2 linked regions of the Struthio camelus genome follow. The protein of the gene in region 2 purifies or fractionates together with the protein of the main gene of each other region. This does not show direct contact. Links are inferred from orthologs where the notes say so. Each region holds a gene or a part of one and is shown on either strand. Other genes may lie near its edges.

Region 1 (7,914 bases), on a different chromosome or scaffold from region 2:
CTTTTAGCCTTCTGGACTAGATCTGGAAAAGACAGACCCGCATGTCAAGCACCCGACAGTTAGTCACTGAATATTTGTCATTTGAAGCCAGTATAGAATACTCCTCTGATCTTTGAGCACAAGTCTTTTTCCTTGATGACAAGTTTATTATTAATATTTTTGATTTTTACGCCAATATAACCTAGCCTGTTTGGAACCAGAGCACGGTCCAGAGAACCACAGCCAATATGAAACGGTGTTTGTTGTCTGTTATAAAGTAGCACTAAGCTCCTAATGACAAAGCAGTAGTTTTAGACGCACCATTCTGAGACTTAACTGCAAAACAGTAAGCTGTTGACTAAAGCAGCATTAACTTATGAGACCCACTCCATAACATGCTGGGCCACCATACATATAACAGCTCTTCATTCCGAATGATTTTCTGAGGATTCAAGGATGCTCAGAACCTTCTTTTCTCCATTTTTGTACTAACTGCAAACTATATCTAGATAGTTTCCCAAGTACTATGCGGCCCATTCCGTTACCTCATAGTAACGCTAGTGAGAGGAGGACAGTCTACTGGGCCAAAAGGAGGACTAGGAATTTGAAACTTGAGAGCTTTTATCCCCCTTGCAGCTATGTTCCTCTTTGGAAGCTAGCAGAATTTGAAGGGTGCTAATTTTCTTGCAGAAGACATTCAATTTCTCCTAGAATTAAGTCTTTTATACTTCAAGGTTTCTGACACGGTGCTGGGAACCATGAGTTAGCAAGTCCCTTCAGGTTTCTACTTTCCTTATGTAGTATCCAAAACACTAGAACTTCCACCTCAACTGCACCAGAGCCTCTGTTCGGGAGTTTCAGTCACTACAGCTGTGCCAGCAGCACCCCTTCGTGCAGGCATCATACTTACTAACTGAAGTTTTTCAGCTGCTGAAGTTATGCTTCCTCACAAAACGACACTCACTGAAATGAAACACTCTTGTCAACAAAGCTGTGTCCCCGTCAGGCTGGCAAAGGCTTTGCTAGCATTGTAACATCATCGCAGAAACAGGATTTCTCCTCCCACCTTTCCCCAAAATACTCCCAAGGCAACATGGCAAATGCTAGCTGAACACTGCAGTTTCTTAGGTGAGGTTTACACCATATAAACAGGAAATATAGTAAGTGAGACATACACAAAAAGAATTCGCGATGCCTCATGGTTTTGCCACAGACACAAAAGGTTTTCAAGCAGACTTCATAATGTCTTTCGTAACAAAATCAAACACAAGTACCTCTGTATGACTCACTCAAAGTACTAGAAATGACTAGAAGTCACCTTATAGCTCCACAGTTAGGATACTCTGAATTCGGCACAAAATCACATAACTACTCGTGATATACGGTTTGAACTCTAGTCCCTTGTTTAAGGGAAAAGATAGTTTTGTTGGCCTTCTGTCTGGGAGGGACTTCACTGGGTAGAGCTAGGACAGAAAGTAAGCAAATAAAAACAACATTCTTGATATCAACACACAGATGAAAGACCTGTGCCTGAGAAGGCGCAATACACTACTTTAAAAGAATACTACAGAGAGAACAAAATCAAAATGCAGGTGTTCTGCATTAAATAAAAGAAAGCATTTGGGAAATCTTACCAAGCCTAAGTTGTTGTTGTTTTCTTTCCTCTTAGTGCAATGCAAACCCTATTGCTGTTCTGGTTTAAACACTCCACTGAAGCGCCTGCGATTCAGCTATTACAGCACTGTGCCCATGATGAGAACGTGATGCAGTACTGACCAGTCTGCCTTCACTGTCCAAGAAGAGCACAGTGCTAAAAGCCAAGTAGCAGCCAGACTGATGGAAAGCAACTTTTTATAAAATATATGTTGTACATATATTTTTTAAATAAAACATTCAATCGTACTACTCTTAAGATAGGTTATTAAAAACAGGAACTTCACTTACAAGAGAGACTTTTGAAACAATAGCCACCAATCTCATTAAAAAAGAAGGTAAAAATTAAAAACTGCCAGGGTGCTATCTCTATTATAATAAAGTAACAATGAAAAGATTTTTGCAAGGAAGACAGAAAATACCCACTGCTCTGCACATTTCTCTCTCCATGTAAAAATGACACAGTGTAGACAAAAGAGAAACCAAGGAAGCAGTATTTTAGTTGAAAAAGAATCCAAAGGGATTTTCCAGACACCAGTGAAAGTTGGTGATCTGGAGCGCAACTCTGGGATACTCTCAGCATCTATCTACTGCCCTCCCTCAGCCAGCACCTCCAGCCATGTTCTTGTCTATGTTTATCTACCACCAACCGTCCTTAACTTTACACTTCGCCTCACTGTCAGAAATAGGGGATTAATGAGTTGGTACCTGGCAAGACCGGAGATTACCTATGTTCTGTGAAATCCCAAGTGTTAGCTGAAGAATTTATCTGGGTTACAGCATGAATTTGAGAGTGCTCAGGTTAAAAAATAAATAAACAAAGCCAATAACATGTACACAGTACACGCAATCAGATACCTGCAGAGTCAGGCCTTCTAAGTGACTACTTTCAGTATGTAAATTCTAAAACACCACTAAAAGTAGCGAGTGAAGAATAACGTATTAACTACGCCTTAGCGTAAGTCCTTTCACGGGGAAACGGAGCCCTGCCCCCGCCGTAACTCACTTCCATTAGTATTTCAGTACTACTAGCCATCCTGAGGGTCTGCAGCACCAGCAGCTTCGGCTGCAGGGAATTTTACCAGACAAAAAGGAAAGCGCCAAACGCGCCGCCAGGCCTCACTTCTGAGCTGCCCTCGGACATCCCCGTCCTCGCCGGAGTGCTCCTCCTCGTAGTGCGACTGCAGCTGGTAGAAGGACTGAAGGTCCTTGAGGCAGAGCGGGCACAGGAACCCTTCTCTCACGTCGCCCGGGTCGCCGAAAGGCGGCGGGCAGCTGGAGGCCATGGCGAGGGCCGTCCGCGGGGCACGGCTCACCGCCGAGCTGCGGCCGCGGCCGGGGCCGGGCAGCGCGGCGCGGGCATCGCCCCGCCTGCAGGGAACCGGCAGCGGCGCAAGGCTGGAGCCCCCCGGTCCTCCAGCGGCGCCGCCGGGGCCGAGCGGCCAGGGCCAGGGCCAGGGCCGGCGGGGCCTGCAGCGCGGCGCCTCTCGGCGGGGCGGCGGCGGCGGCGCGCAGGCGCAGTCGGCAGCTCGCGCGGGGCGGGGCGGCGGCGCGCAGGCGCAGTCGGCAGCTCGCGCGGGGCGGGGCGGCGGCGCGCAGGCGCAGTCGGCAGCTCGCGCGGGGCGGGGCGGCGGCGCGCAGGCGCAGTCGGCAGCTCGCGCGGGGCGGGGCGGCGGCGCGCAGGCGCAGTCGGCAGCTCGCGCGGGGCGGGGCGGGGCGGGGCTTCGCGCGGTCGCGGGCCGCTGGCGGCTCCCCCTCGCCTACGGCGCACCGGGGCGCTGGCAGCACGGGCGCGCTGAGCCCCCGGCCGGCTGTGGCCTGGCTCGGCTCGGCTCGGCTCGCAGCCGCCGGGTGCGCGTCTCTGCCTTCGGCGGCGGGGCAGCCCCCGGCCGGCCGCGCCCCAGCCCGCCGGGGATCCCGGCGGCGAGCACCGAGCTACCAATGGGCAGGGGCGGGCGGGCTCGTGCGGACGGCAGGGGGCGGGGCCGGGCAAGGCGCGCTCTGCCAAGCGCAGAGCTGTCGATGGAGGCGGCGCGGCGCGGCGCGGCGCGGGGCAGCCGTGGGGCCGGCTGGGGCTGGGGCTGGGGCTGGGGCTGGGGCTGGGGCTGGCGGCCCCCCTGCGCCGCAGGCTGCCTGGAGGTCCCCGCCGGGAGCGGCGGCGGGAGGCCCGGCTGGGAGCGGGGCCCGGCCCGGCGCCGGCGCGGCGTTTCCCGGAGCGCAGGCCCGGGCCGGGCGGCAGAGGGACTGCTGATCCCGCCGGGAGGAGCGAGCGGCCCGGTGGCGGGAGGGCCCGGTGGGGGGAGGGCCCGGTGGGTGGGTGGACGGCCCGGTGGAGGGAGGGCCCGGAGGGTGGACGGCCCGGTGGAGGGAGGGCCGGGTGGGTGGAGGACCCGGTGGGTGGAGGCCCGGTGGGTGGGTGGAGGGCCCGGTGGGTGGACGGCCCGGTGGGGGGACGGCCGGGTGGAGGGAGGGCCCGGTGGGGGGAGGGCCGGGTGGGTGGACGGCCCGGTTCCTTTTCCTAGCCCGCCGCGCCCTTCGAGAGAAGCTGTTGCAGGCCGCGGGCGGCCGTGCCGGATTGCGCGCTGCTCGCAGGGGCCGGGACTCCCAGGACAGCCTGCTTCGGCCCCATGCCGCCCGACAGACGGCTGTGGGACGCAAGGACGAAAGCTTGTTCGTATCCCCTTTCGATGCTCGTTACTGCTCGCTCGGGCGGTGCTCTGTGCTGTCCCCCCTTCCCCAGCGCGCAGAGGAAAGAAGGGTGCAATCGTACAACTGCTTCATCTGTCAAGATTACAGGCTTTTGAAGGCAGAGACTTTCCTATATCTCAGGCAGCGCTCCTTACGCTTAAGTCCCATCCGTTCAAGGTGGAGCATCGTTGCTAACGTCCCACAGTCTCATGCCTGAAGTTCGGGCATCTCCGTTCTCAGCAGGGATCCTGGGGAATTTTCCAAGGCACAAATTGCTCCTAGGTACCCAACCCCCAAGGTCTTCAAATCTTAGCTAAAGGATATTTATTGAACGGTCCCACCTGAGATATGTGGTTTATCCACAAACTGTTTTGTGAGCTGTCCTAAATTCTGCTCTCATTCCTGCAATCTCATCTTTATAGGCTGACTATTATGTGACCATCTTCAGCACCTTTCACGTCACCAGTGAATTTGACCTGTTTTGCTTGTATAGTTCCATAATCCATCAAAAGCATAATGAGAAATTAAAGTCTTGAAACTGAACTAATTTAACCAGAGGAGTAATTGAATGTTATAAATAGCCAAACTATCTGAATTTTTAAATCTGCAGTTTCCTGCTGAGACCCGTTATGCTTTGCTTTTCAAAACAATGCAGTCTTGATTCGATTATGAAGAGAGAATCAGGAGGCTATGGAAATAACGTAGAAAACAAGTTACAATCACCTTCCTGTTTTGCATGCAAAACACAGACTCAATTCCTCTGATTTTAAAAGCTGAGAAGAGGCTTTAGGATGCTGCAAAAGCTACTCTGATCAGATACTCTCCTAGCAGTGCAGTCAGGCAAATTATAAGCTGTTAAGCTTTTTTTTTAAAGGTATGACTTAACTTTTTTCCTTAAGTTAAGGGGCTATAGTACCCCTAGTTCTTAAAAATCTGAATGTGTTTTTTAAGTGTTATGATTTTTATTTTAAAACTTGAAAAATTCTCATCTATAGGGACTGGAGTTTAAAGGAGCAGTATATGTAAAGAAGGAAGGTACTTCATGGATGAAAAGGGGAAAAACAGAAGTAACCAGCTTACATTTCTACTGATGTTGTTGTATAGAAAAATATATTTTTGGCCTCTTCCAACCTTAGTGAGAAGGGTTTAACCACACATGGAAGAGGCCTGCCAAGATGAACTCAGTATACTCAATATTGAGCTGGCAAAGCCTTTTACCGTACACATCTCATCAAGGCTTCTGGGGTTTCTCATTGGATAGACCTATATGTGGAATTGGGGCTTCAATTAATAGACGTGTCGTGATCTTTCTGGATTTGCTGGAGCTCGGCTGTTTCCTAGCACTGAGCCATGCTTGTGTTCTGGGCAAGACAGGGGGAACCAAATTGCTGCCCCTTGGTTGTTATCTTGCTCCTTTTGGCCAGGCCTCTGTTCAGGCCAGCGATTTGTAACACACTGAGCCGGGGAAGGACTCCTCCAGCAGTACGTGTGTCTCTGGGGGACTGGAAAGACTCGGAGAGATCTAGGTGGGCAGTGAGACCTATGTTTGGATGGGAGGGAAAGAGTTCAGAAGGGTGAGAGTGGGAATAAGCCCCCCAAAAGGCGAGAGCAGATGCAGGGCTTGGTGGAGGGGGGGCTCTCTAGCACTTGGGTTGTCTTGTTCCTGCCGGGGGGGTGCGTTCTGCTCTGTTCCTTGTTCAGCACAAGCGTGGCTTGCCAAGGCGGTGAAGGGCGGTGGCGAGGAGCGGGTAGGTGGGGAGAAGCGGCTGCCGCCAGATGGCACAACAAGCATGTCTGAGAACCGCCGAGGGTCTGGGAGCGGGCGTCTGCAGGGGATTTCACAGCGCTGGGGCTGCCCAGCGTTCGGGATGGACTCTCTGCCTGGCCGTGAGGCCCTGATGACCGACCCTGGCAGCTCGGGCCCCTCCTGTCCTGTCATTCCGAAGTGGTAAGAGTCGGGCAAGGGAGAGGGAGGCTCCTGAGCAGCAAGGTCTTTTCTTAAAAAAGAAAAGCTTTGCCGTAGCTTCCGTAACTGCTAATTTTCAGATGGATAATCTTAAAGGCTTATTAAAATGGTAAATACAATGATTAAAGTCTTAAAATAATAGCTTGCTGTTGGACGATAACCATATAGTGAGAAGGACTGCCTACAGTGAGTTGTGGTAAGCATGCTAACATGCTGCAACGTACTCTAAAAATCAAAGACTTCACTGGATCTTTAGTTAATTACGTTCTTCTGCATGTTGTGCCTTTGACAACAGACTACAACAGAGCATCTCACCAAATGAATCTTACTGAAGTATGGATAAAAAGCCATGTGTCAGTCACTCTTGAACAGAGAAATTTCATTCAGCACTTTGAAAGAAAAACGCTATAGATTTGCACACTTCTAAACAGAAATGGTCTTTAGCAGTTCCTCAGGAGCTCGCTGAGTGCAACCAAGTGAGTGGTTGCACCACTTCACTGTGGTGTGGATATTTACGACGCTATTAGACTGAGAATCAGAGAAGTAATAAATGATGCAGAGTCAGCATGCCAGATGTAGTCGTGATGCGTCAACGGTAATTGCTGGTTCCCAAAGGCAAATTTGGGCTTAGGTATCCCTCCTGAAGTGCAGGGGAATGACCTAGGCTTGTGCTGGTGTGAATGGGAATAGACTTTGGCTGCCTGCCGCTCATTGAGACGCACTTTCCCACTCAGAGAATGTTCAGGGTCCAAAAACATCTCAGTCTAAAGCAATCCAGTTTATGCTACTTCAAAAATGAACTTGGGTTCATCCAGCTAGTTGCAATGGAAAGAGATGGTGATGCGAAACAGCAATCTAAAAGGTATTTGGGGACCAATTAAACATTACAGAAATGCTACTGATGCTGTTGGGGACTAAATTTGAATCAGTAATGATTTGCCGTTGTGAATCAAACTGAAAGAGCAGCAATACAAAAAAGGAGAGTGTTTCAAAGGCTTGCTCGAGTGGCGTGTTCACTGCCCCATCTCTGCCACTGGAATATGAACACCTGGCCTGCAAAGCCCCATTTCTCATATATAACTCCTCCTGCTCTGCCGCAGGAGTAGAGTGAAGGGGTCCTGTTTGTGATGTTAGCTGACCTGCTTTCATCCAAGGACCTCAAAGTTCTTTGCAAACATTCAGTTAACAAAGTTGTATAATATCTCGTGAGATGCTATGATACCTCTAATAGTGAATTTTAGGGCCCTGTCTGGTGCGAACTTGGTCGTTGCGTCTGATGTCCAAGACGAGACACTTTAGTGAGGATACAAGTGAGGGGAGGAAGCCAGTCAGCTCTGTAGCAATGGCAAAGTCCTGCCGGAAGGGTATTGCACTTAGGTTCTCCTATATTCTTTATCTTCCTGTAAAATCCTCAGTGGCATTTGCCATGATAAATAATAAGAGTCTGATCCCAGCACAAGAGAGGTAAATGTAGACTAGAGGTAGTTCTTGATAAGGCCTGTCTGCTGCTCAAGGAATGCAATGGAGCGTTTTTACACAAATATGGCTTACTCATTGAAAAAAGTTTAAAATATCTGACAACTAACTGTGTTGAATTCATTCCGTCCTTTTGGTGGAAGCAAAGATTG
Region 2 (7,722 bases):
GAAAGTGTGCATCTAATATGGCTACACCATCCCCAAACACTTTCTTAGATAAAAGTCTTGTTTCTTTATAGGTAGACTGTAGTTTGACTGAAGGAGTAGGTACACCAAAGGCCACAATCCAGATTCCCCGATATACCCCTCCCTTTTTCAGGATCAGGTTTTAAGGATCAGCTACCCCCTTACGGACTGTAAACAGCAATCTGTCTGCTGGGCAACCCACCACGGTGCCCAGTTTGTTGTCGCTAGTGGCCTCTCTGTTAACCATAAAACAAGGCCCTGGAGGAGCATTAGCTTTTTTTCATACCTGGCAGCAGCCCAAGAGGTTGAGAGAAAAAACGTGTGGATTCACTGCAATGTAATCTCCATAGAACTCCTGCCAACAAGTGAAAGCAAATACAGTTAAGTGTCTTGCCAACCCTTATTCAGCCTACAAGTGTAAGCATTCCAACATCAGCAATATTCATGCTAAAATCCTAAGCAATGCACAGACCTGTTGACTCTGATCATTTCTCCTTCCTCCATGCCTAACCTCGCAAATCCCTACACTTCTGCTGACAACTCCACGGCCAATTTCTGCCATCCATTTTTTTCATATGTAGTTCTTTGTCAATAACACAGACAAATGCAGCAGCCTTGCTGAAACACAGATGCTAACTATACCAGCAGAAGCTCTGGCAACTGAAGGGCAAGCAGAAGCAGAGGACACATACAGTTTTCTTTCTTTTATTTTTTTAATCCCATGCGTACATTCCTCTTTGCTTCTACTCCTAGACTGTTGCACAATGTTTCTGCATACTGTTCCACATGGACCTTTCATAGCCACACCTGAATTAGTTAGCGTGTACATTTGCTTTGCTAGTGCTTTTGGATGGGAAGATCTATTTAAGGTATTCAAAATTCACCTGAACTTCTGCCACAACTTCCTGTTCATCAGCTTCAGCTAATGACTTGACATCACTCTTACTGATCACATTACTGAAATCTGAAAGAAAACAACAGTGAAATCAGGCTCTGAGAGTAACACGTAACACAAGAAAATCACAGAACAGTATGACCGGATTTTCCACTGGAACAGGAAGCACATTGCAGCAGAGACCATTTGACTTTACACCTGCAATTATTATGCCGGCATTATAATCTGGTTGTTACTTTACACAGATATTCTCAACTAATTCTCTCTCCAACTTGGTGCCTCTGGTGCTCATATCTAGTATATGACTGCAGCACAGGACCAACATGTGCCACTGAGAGAGACCATGAATTCCACATGCAGCAGGACACATCAGTATCAGCAAGGACAGCTCTCTCGTACCCTCTCCCTGACCTAACCTACGCCCAGTTAGGCAACACCATCTACAGCACTATTGTACTCGGTAGATTTATATGGGTAAAAGGTGGTACTAAATTGCTTAACACAATGACACCGACATCTCTGCTGAAGCTCTAGGCATTGTTGTGCTTATTTATATTAGGTCACCACCATCCTTTATAAACCTGTATCCCCTCACTCCCAAGGAGGCAGCTTTGCTCCTCCTGCACAGCATTCCTGCAGACCCACAATGACATCTAGAGGCCACTTAAGTTCACTTCCCAGAATCTTGCAGAACTGCGTGATGCCTTTCCTAGAGGACCAGACTTGAACACAAAACTAGCTATTCTGCTTAATTTCCAAAACTACATAATATTCTGTGGCATGAACTTGACAAGTGAGAAACACCTGCCTGTTATGCCGGATGTTAAAAGATGCTGGGTAGCAGGTTTAGTTCAACACTGGAATGTGAAGACTATTCTAATACTGACTCCAACATCATTTACCTTAAAGACCTGGGCCAGTCTCTCATCCTGTGCATCTCAGTTTTCCTTCTAGTAAAAGGCACTTTACCCCCAGCATTAGCCTTCCTTCATGTTCATGTTCAACATCATGTTTTCAGAAACAACCGTATGAGAGTAATACATACTTATGGTGTTCCTTTGTAAAAGAAGTTCCTTCAGTTTAATTATTTTATCTTATATATACATACCCTTTGCTAAAAGAATTTGACTGGTGATCACACACTTTCCACGTTGCTTAAATCAAGCTTGAGCGTATTATAATGGAACTGACATAACCTACTGATGAACTTCAAAAACATTTTAGTAAACGTCTCACACCAGCATTTTCCACCGATCATCCAATCGGTCCCTTGACTGGAAAGTCTAACTTATTGGACAAAATGGAACGCACTTACAAATAAAATAGATGCTGTACTTGGGCCTGCGCAGCTCCTGGATGAGGTACTCCACGTTCTCCTGGTAAAAGCAGAACCAGACAGAGCGGATTTACAGAGCGCTCCTGCCACGAAAGGAGCGATTGGACTCATCAAGTCCCCGTCCCGCGTTTTGACCTACGATTTCCCGTTACCTGTCCCGCTAAATAGTGCCACGCTAGTCGCAGCTGCAAAGGGCGGCCCGGAAGCGCTTGCGGGATGGAGGCCGTGGATACGCGCGAGCTGTCAGGGACGGGCAACCGGGGCGAGAAGCTGCGAAGCGCGTTACCTTGGTGGGCCGCAGAAAACAAATCGCTTTCAAGTGTTTCATGGTCTCCCTGTTGAAGGAGTCGATGCGCTCGAAGAGGTACACCTCCTTCTGCAGGATCTCGGACTGCGTGTACACCATGCTCACCACGCCGGTCTGCAGCGAGGCACAGGAGGCCGCGTTACAGCCGGCCCGGCCCGGCCCGGCTCGACGGCCGCTGCCCGGCCCCGGCCCGGCCCGCCGCCGCTCACCGTCTCCCGGTCCATCAGGAGGACCTTCATGCCCGGCCCGCTGTCCTCGATCATCTTGGACACGTACTGCTTCACGGCCAGCACCGCGTTCATCTCGGCTCGGCTTGGCCCGGTTCGGCTCGGCTCGGCACCGCCGCCCTCACGGCCCCCGCCCGCCGCCTCCCTGGGACTTGTAGTCCGCGAGCGGCGGGCGCCGCCGGGCAGCGCCAGCAGGAGCCGCGGCGGCGCCGGACTACAACTCCCGGCGTGCCGCGCGGCGCGGGCCGCGGCCGGGGCGGAGGGCAGCCTCGACCAGCCACCCCCCCCCCCCCCCCCGCCCGCAACCGCCCCCCGGTAACGGCTGCCGCGCGCCGCCCGCTGCCGGGGCCCAGGTGTGTGGGGAGCGGAGCCGCCTGCGGAGCGGCCCGCGGCCCCTCCCCGGGCTGGCAGCGGCGGGGGGGCTGAGGCGTCCTGGGGAGGAGGCAGTAACGTGAGACTAAACTAACCTCTCTTCTAGTGCCAGCTCCCCTTTCCAAAATGCCTTTGCTCGAAAAGCAAGGTGGGTGCTCAGCTTCCCAGCGTCGCCTCTGTGAGTCGTGCTTTACCGCAAAGGGGAAGGTAAAACAAAGATGTGTTAACATCTCTGTTGGATGTTGCATACCGTAATCAGGCCAGTTGTATCCAACCGATGATTTGTCGCTAACACAACCCCCCAAGCAACCGCAAACGGGACCCGCTTCCGCGAAGGCCTCGGCCTCTTCCAGCCCCGCCAGAGCTAGCGCAGAGGAGCTCCTGCTGGTCCGCGTTAGCTCGGCGTGGGGCGAGGTGGGTGCGCCAGGCGCCAGCGAAGCCGCCCGCCGCCTCTGGTGCCGCCGGGGGTGCGGGTAGGTCCCCCAGAGCGGCCCGAGCCCGTCGGCGCCGGGCCCGCGCTCGCAGCATGGCAGAGCTCGGCCCTCGCTCTTCGCGCGGTTGCTCCGCTTCCAGGCAGCTTCTGAAGTTTACGCCCCGTGCCAGCGCGCCAGCTCCTTCAAGCTCCTTCCAAAGGCAAATACAATTTGCAATCTGTGTGTTTTTAAAATGGACCCACAGAGGTACTGAGGGGAGGAGAGAGGAGGCCGGAGCCGTGAAACGCAGCGTGATCGGAGCTGCGCGGCCCGGCCCGGTGGGCCTGGGGCAGCGTCCCCCTTCGCGTCCCCCTTCTTCAGGACGGGGAGCGCAGCGGTTGACCTTCATGGCGTAAATCGTGTTGACGGGAGCTGATATGTATTTTGCTAACCTTTGAAGCAATGGGTCCCTGTGCTATTTGTTCCGCTGCTATTATTATTCCCGAGTGTGACAATTTTGGAAAAGGGCTATTATGTTTATAAAAATGTAATCATATAACGTGCATGTTTTATACAGAAAATGGTGAGCAGGTGCTGATGAAAAATGAAAGCTATTTGCAAATCTTGTAAGTACCTTTTCATAAAAGCTGACACAAAGGAACTCTTTCACGCTTATAGTTCATCTTTTGTTCTGCTTGATTTACATTTAATATACGTCAAAATACATTACGGAAATATGGATATAGCTTAAAATTTTTGTATTTTATAGGAAAAATAAAGATCAGAGAAAGAGACTTGTCCATGAAATCTGTTCCTTTTTAGACAGCAGTCAGTCTGTAAGTAATACTTATAAAAGCATTCTTGGAGACATTCACAATATGTTATTGGTATGCAGACTATAGAAGTGAAGTTTATATATGGAGATGAGAGACATGAAGCTTGTTCATGCAGTTTCTATGGCAGTGTAACTAAGTTTTTAAGAAGTGTCACGCTTTTCCTGGCTATATTAAGCTGAATACAACTAATATATTCTCTCCATACAAGCCACTATACCTTTCTAGTGAATGAATGGGAGGCAATTTAGAAATTCTAGTTACTGTAGGCAAAAAAAACCCTAAGCAGTTTCAGGCAGGTGCTGAGGAAAAAGTAGGTCTCAACAATGAAGGGAGCTGAAAAAGTCTGGCTTTTAAATACATATAATTGCTGTAAAGAACTGCATTAAAGCAGTACCACATTAAGGTTTAGACAAGACCTTATTTTGCCAAAGTTACCTCATGCTTGTAAGTGACACTAAACATGCAGGACAACAGTGGAACTAATCTTTTTGCTTGTTATCAAATACAGTAAAAGATTGCTTGCCTAAGTGTCTACACACTAGTCCTATAAGCTTGGCTTAGAAGGAGAAAAAAATCCAACTGTATCTTCAAAATAATGCAGACGGCCACAGTCTTAAAATCCTTCCCTTTCGTCCAAGTATGCAAATTAATGCACTTGGATTTGTTTGTAGTTTGTTTACAAGTATAATTTAATAAGGATAAAACTGACTCCCCACAATATATACAACATGTATAAGCAAACATCTAGCTGCTGTCATTTTTGCTCTCTGGTAGTAAATTTCAGTATTTACACTATAACTTAAAAAAAAAAACAAGAAAAAGAAAAGACCCTTACCCCTGGAATAACCTGATGTTTTTGTACTCTTGCTTGCATCTGGAAAGCCATCAACCATTGCAGGAATAGAACCAGTGCCAGTACAATGTTTATGAACTTTATGAGATGTTATTGGTTTGGCATCAATTTCTTACTGTTATTCAGAACGTCATGCAACCTAAAGACTAAAGGACAAAGTTGTAGGTATTTTTAAATCAGACAGACGTGCTTAATCAGCCCTAAAGAAAGCTGATGTTAAGGATGTACGGAGTTGATACTGATCTTAATGTTCAAAATACTATGTTTTTTTTTTCTATACTAGGTCCAAGAAATTGATGCTTTGAGGACAGAAAATAGGAAGCTAAAAAATGCGGTACACGTTTTACATTTTTATTTAAATTTGGAGGCAGTTTGTTGTATGACTTTTTTTTTGCAGTTGCCCTGGGAATATTCACACACATCAATTTAACACTTTTGATTTCTCTAGTACACAGAAACTTCACTGTTAATGTTTCTGTATTTGTGCCCAATGCTGTTTCATTCTGTTTTCTCTTCCTCAGAACTCAAGACTGCGATATAAAACAAAAGGTATATTATCTGAAATGCACGTAAGCATTTCCCAATGAGAAATTCTCTGTCGTTGATATCTGCTAAATTAGCAACTGAATTGAAGAGCAAACATCTGTTACTAACAATCTTTTAATACCGCAACATGGAAGGAAAATAATGAAAAAAAGGAATTGTGTATACTTATAAAACTAGCTGCTAATAAAATGAGCTAGATGTGATCTAAATGTAACTTAGGCTACTTAAATTCTTACCTAGTAATCATTCTTATTTGCAGAAGTGTTGAATATCTGCAGCTTCCATTTAAGCCAATGGGAATTTGTGTAGAACTCTGTGTGGAACGGATATCTGCCTTAGGCCCGAGTTTTGCAATAACCACCACTGAAATCAGTGTATGACATTTTGCAGAGTCCGGCACATATATCATTCATAGCCAAACACACTGAAATGAAAGAAAAGTCTATTAAGATATCAGTGGAATAATTTGTCCCCATCTCTCCAACCCATCTGGTTGGAAAATAATAGTGACGTTTACTATGAATTTGCTAGACGGAGCTTCATCTTTTAGTTTGGGTAGCAAAAATAATGCATCATTCCTTTTTCTTCCTAGATTGGGCATTAAGGAAAGAAGAGTATAAAAGGTAAGGATGAGAATTATCTTACATTGAGTTAAAATGATATACAGCTGAGCTAAACTAATGTGGCTTTGTGGTTTAGAAGGGCAGAGCGAATTTCACCCTTGATTAATAAATCTGTCCAATTTCTGGTGGCTAAAGTTCTGTGACAAATTGATGTCTTTATCAGCTTTGTACTTCAGAATCATTCTGACAAGTAACACATTTATTTGCATTTTGCTTTGTTTTCAAAGTGAGATCGAGAGACTTTCTGGCGAGATATCCAACTACTTAAATGTCACCAATTTCTGGGTAAATATATCAGTAGTATAAACAATTTGGAGAGGGTTTTAATGAGATTAAATGTCCTCTTGAAGATACAGTTTTGTTGAATGCTGCAGTGACATGACAAATAGTCAGGGCAAAGGAAGGAAGCCCTAGAGACATTAATTGTAAAAATGATTGGAGTTCGTGCCATTTGTTTGTAGAGATTGGACAAGCGTCAGAAACAGTTAAAAAAAAATCTGTATCCCAAAATGGAGCAAAGGAAAACAAATTATAAACTGGTGCCTTATCTCGTCCACCTGCATTAGAGAGACACTTGCTAGTGATGCATATAAGAAGTGCAAGACTTCTATGTAAATTCCAAAGTGGGCTTTCTAAGCCTCATAAAAAATACCTAGCTTTTTATGATTGCTTATAAAATGAACTGTATCTCTTGTTTAGTATGAAGAGTCGGAGCTTCTGAATGGCCCAGGTATGTTATTTTTAGCAACTGAAAGAACAGCTGAATATAATTATAAAGCATGTTCTCCCTTCTATATAAAACTGTTATGTATTTGCTCGGTTACATACTACAGTGATGTACTTCCTATCTACGTTATAGCCACCATACTATTAACTGACTTATAATGAAAACATTTGCATAATATTAGGAGTCTGACCAGTATTATTGTAGTTTAAAAGCGATTACAGCAAAAATATTTTGAATTCAAAGCTAAAACTAGGAGGTCAAGCATACAGTCTGCAGGGAACTTGAAATGTTAAAATGATTGTACTTCTATTTTTAAATTATCAGATAAGAGAACACCGAGGGACCAGACCAAACATGTGAGGTGAGCAATGGGAAACGTTTGCTTTACCAACGCCTCTCAGAATAATAACATGAGAAAATGCGTTAAGTCATCACTTTACAGAACTGTTTTTTAACTGAACAGGTTGGGTGAATTATTAAGAGAAAAACCAAGCTTTTCAGAGGTGATAAGGTGATTCTTTGCCAGTTAATAAAACGGACATTTTGGGTGCATTTCTAGGAGGTTTCCC

What was found. Proteins that work in one complex are often made in the same cells at the same time.
Region 1: the proteins of VPS45 (region 2) and RBSN purify together in Homo sapiens (affinity purification with mass spectrometry; 4 studies listed by BioGRID and IntAct, counting the BioPlex papers as one, with this or other methods). This does not show direct contact. The link is inferred for Struthio camelus from reciprocal best matches to the Homo sapiens genes VPS45 and RBSN.

What each region holds. Positions count from the first base shown.
Region 1 is NC_090955.1:453,522-461,435, forward strand, and holds the start of RBSN (rabenosyn-5), read right to left. Parts: upstream 3,018-7,914; 5' UTR 2,919-3,017; coding exon 2,756-2,918; exon of another isoform or gene 2,639-2,755; intron 1,076-2,638; exon of another isoform or gene 890-1,075; intron 23-889; coding exon 1-22. UniProt on the Homo sapiens protein: Rab4/Rab5 effector protein acting in early endocytic membrane fusion and membrane trafficking of recycling endosomes. Required for endosome fusion either homotypically or with clathrin coated vesicles.
Region 2 is NC_090971.1:2,908,012-2,915,733, forward strand, and holds the start of VPS45 (vacuolar protein sorting-associated protein 45), read right to left. Parts: upstream 3,007-7,722; 5' UTR 2,859-3,006; coding exon 2,766-2,858; intron 2,671-2,765; coding exon 2,536-2,670; intron 2,290-2,535; coding exon 2,229-2,289; intron 983-2,228; coding exon 903-982; intron 374-902; coding exon 305-373; intron 1-304. UniProt on the Homo sapiens protein: May play a role in vesicle-mediated protein trafficking from the Golgi stack through the trans-Golgi network.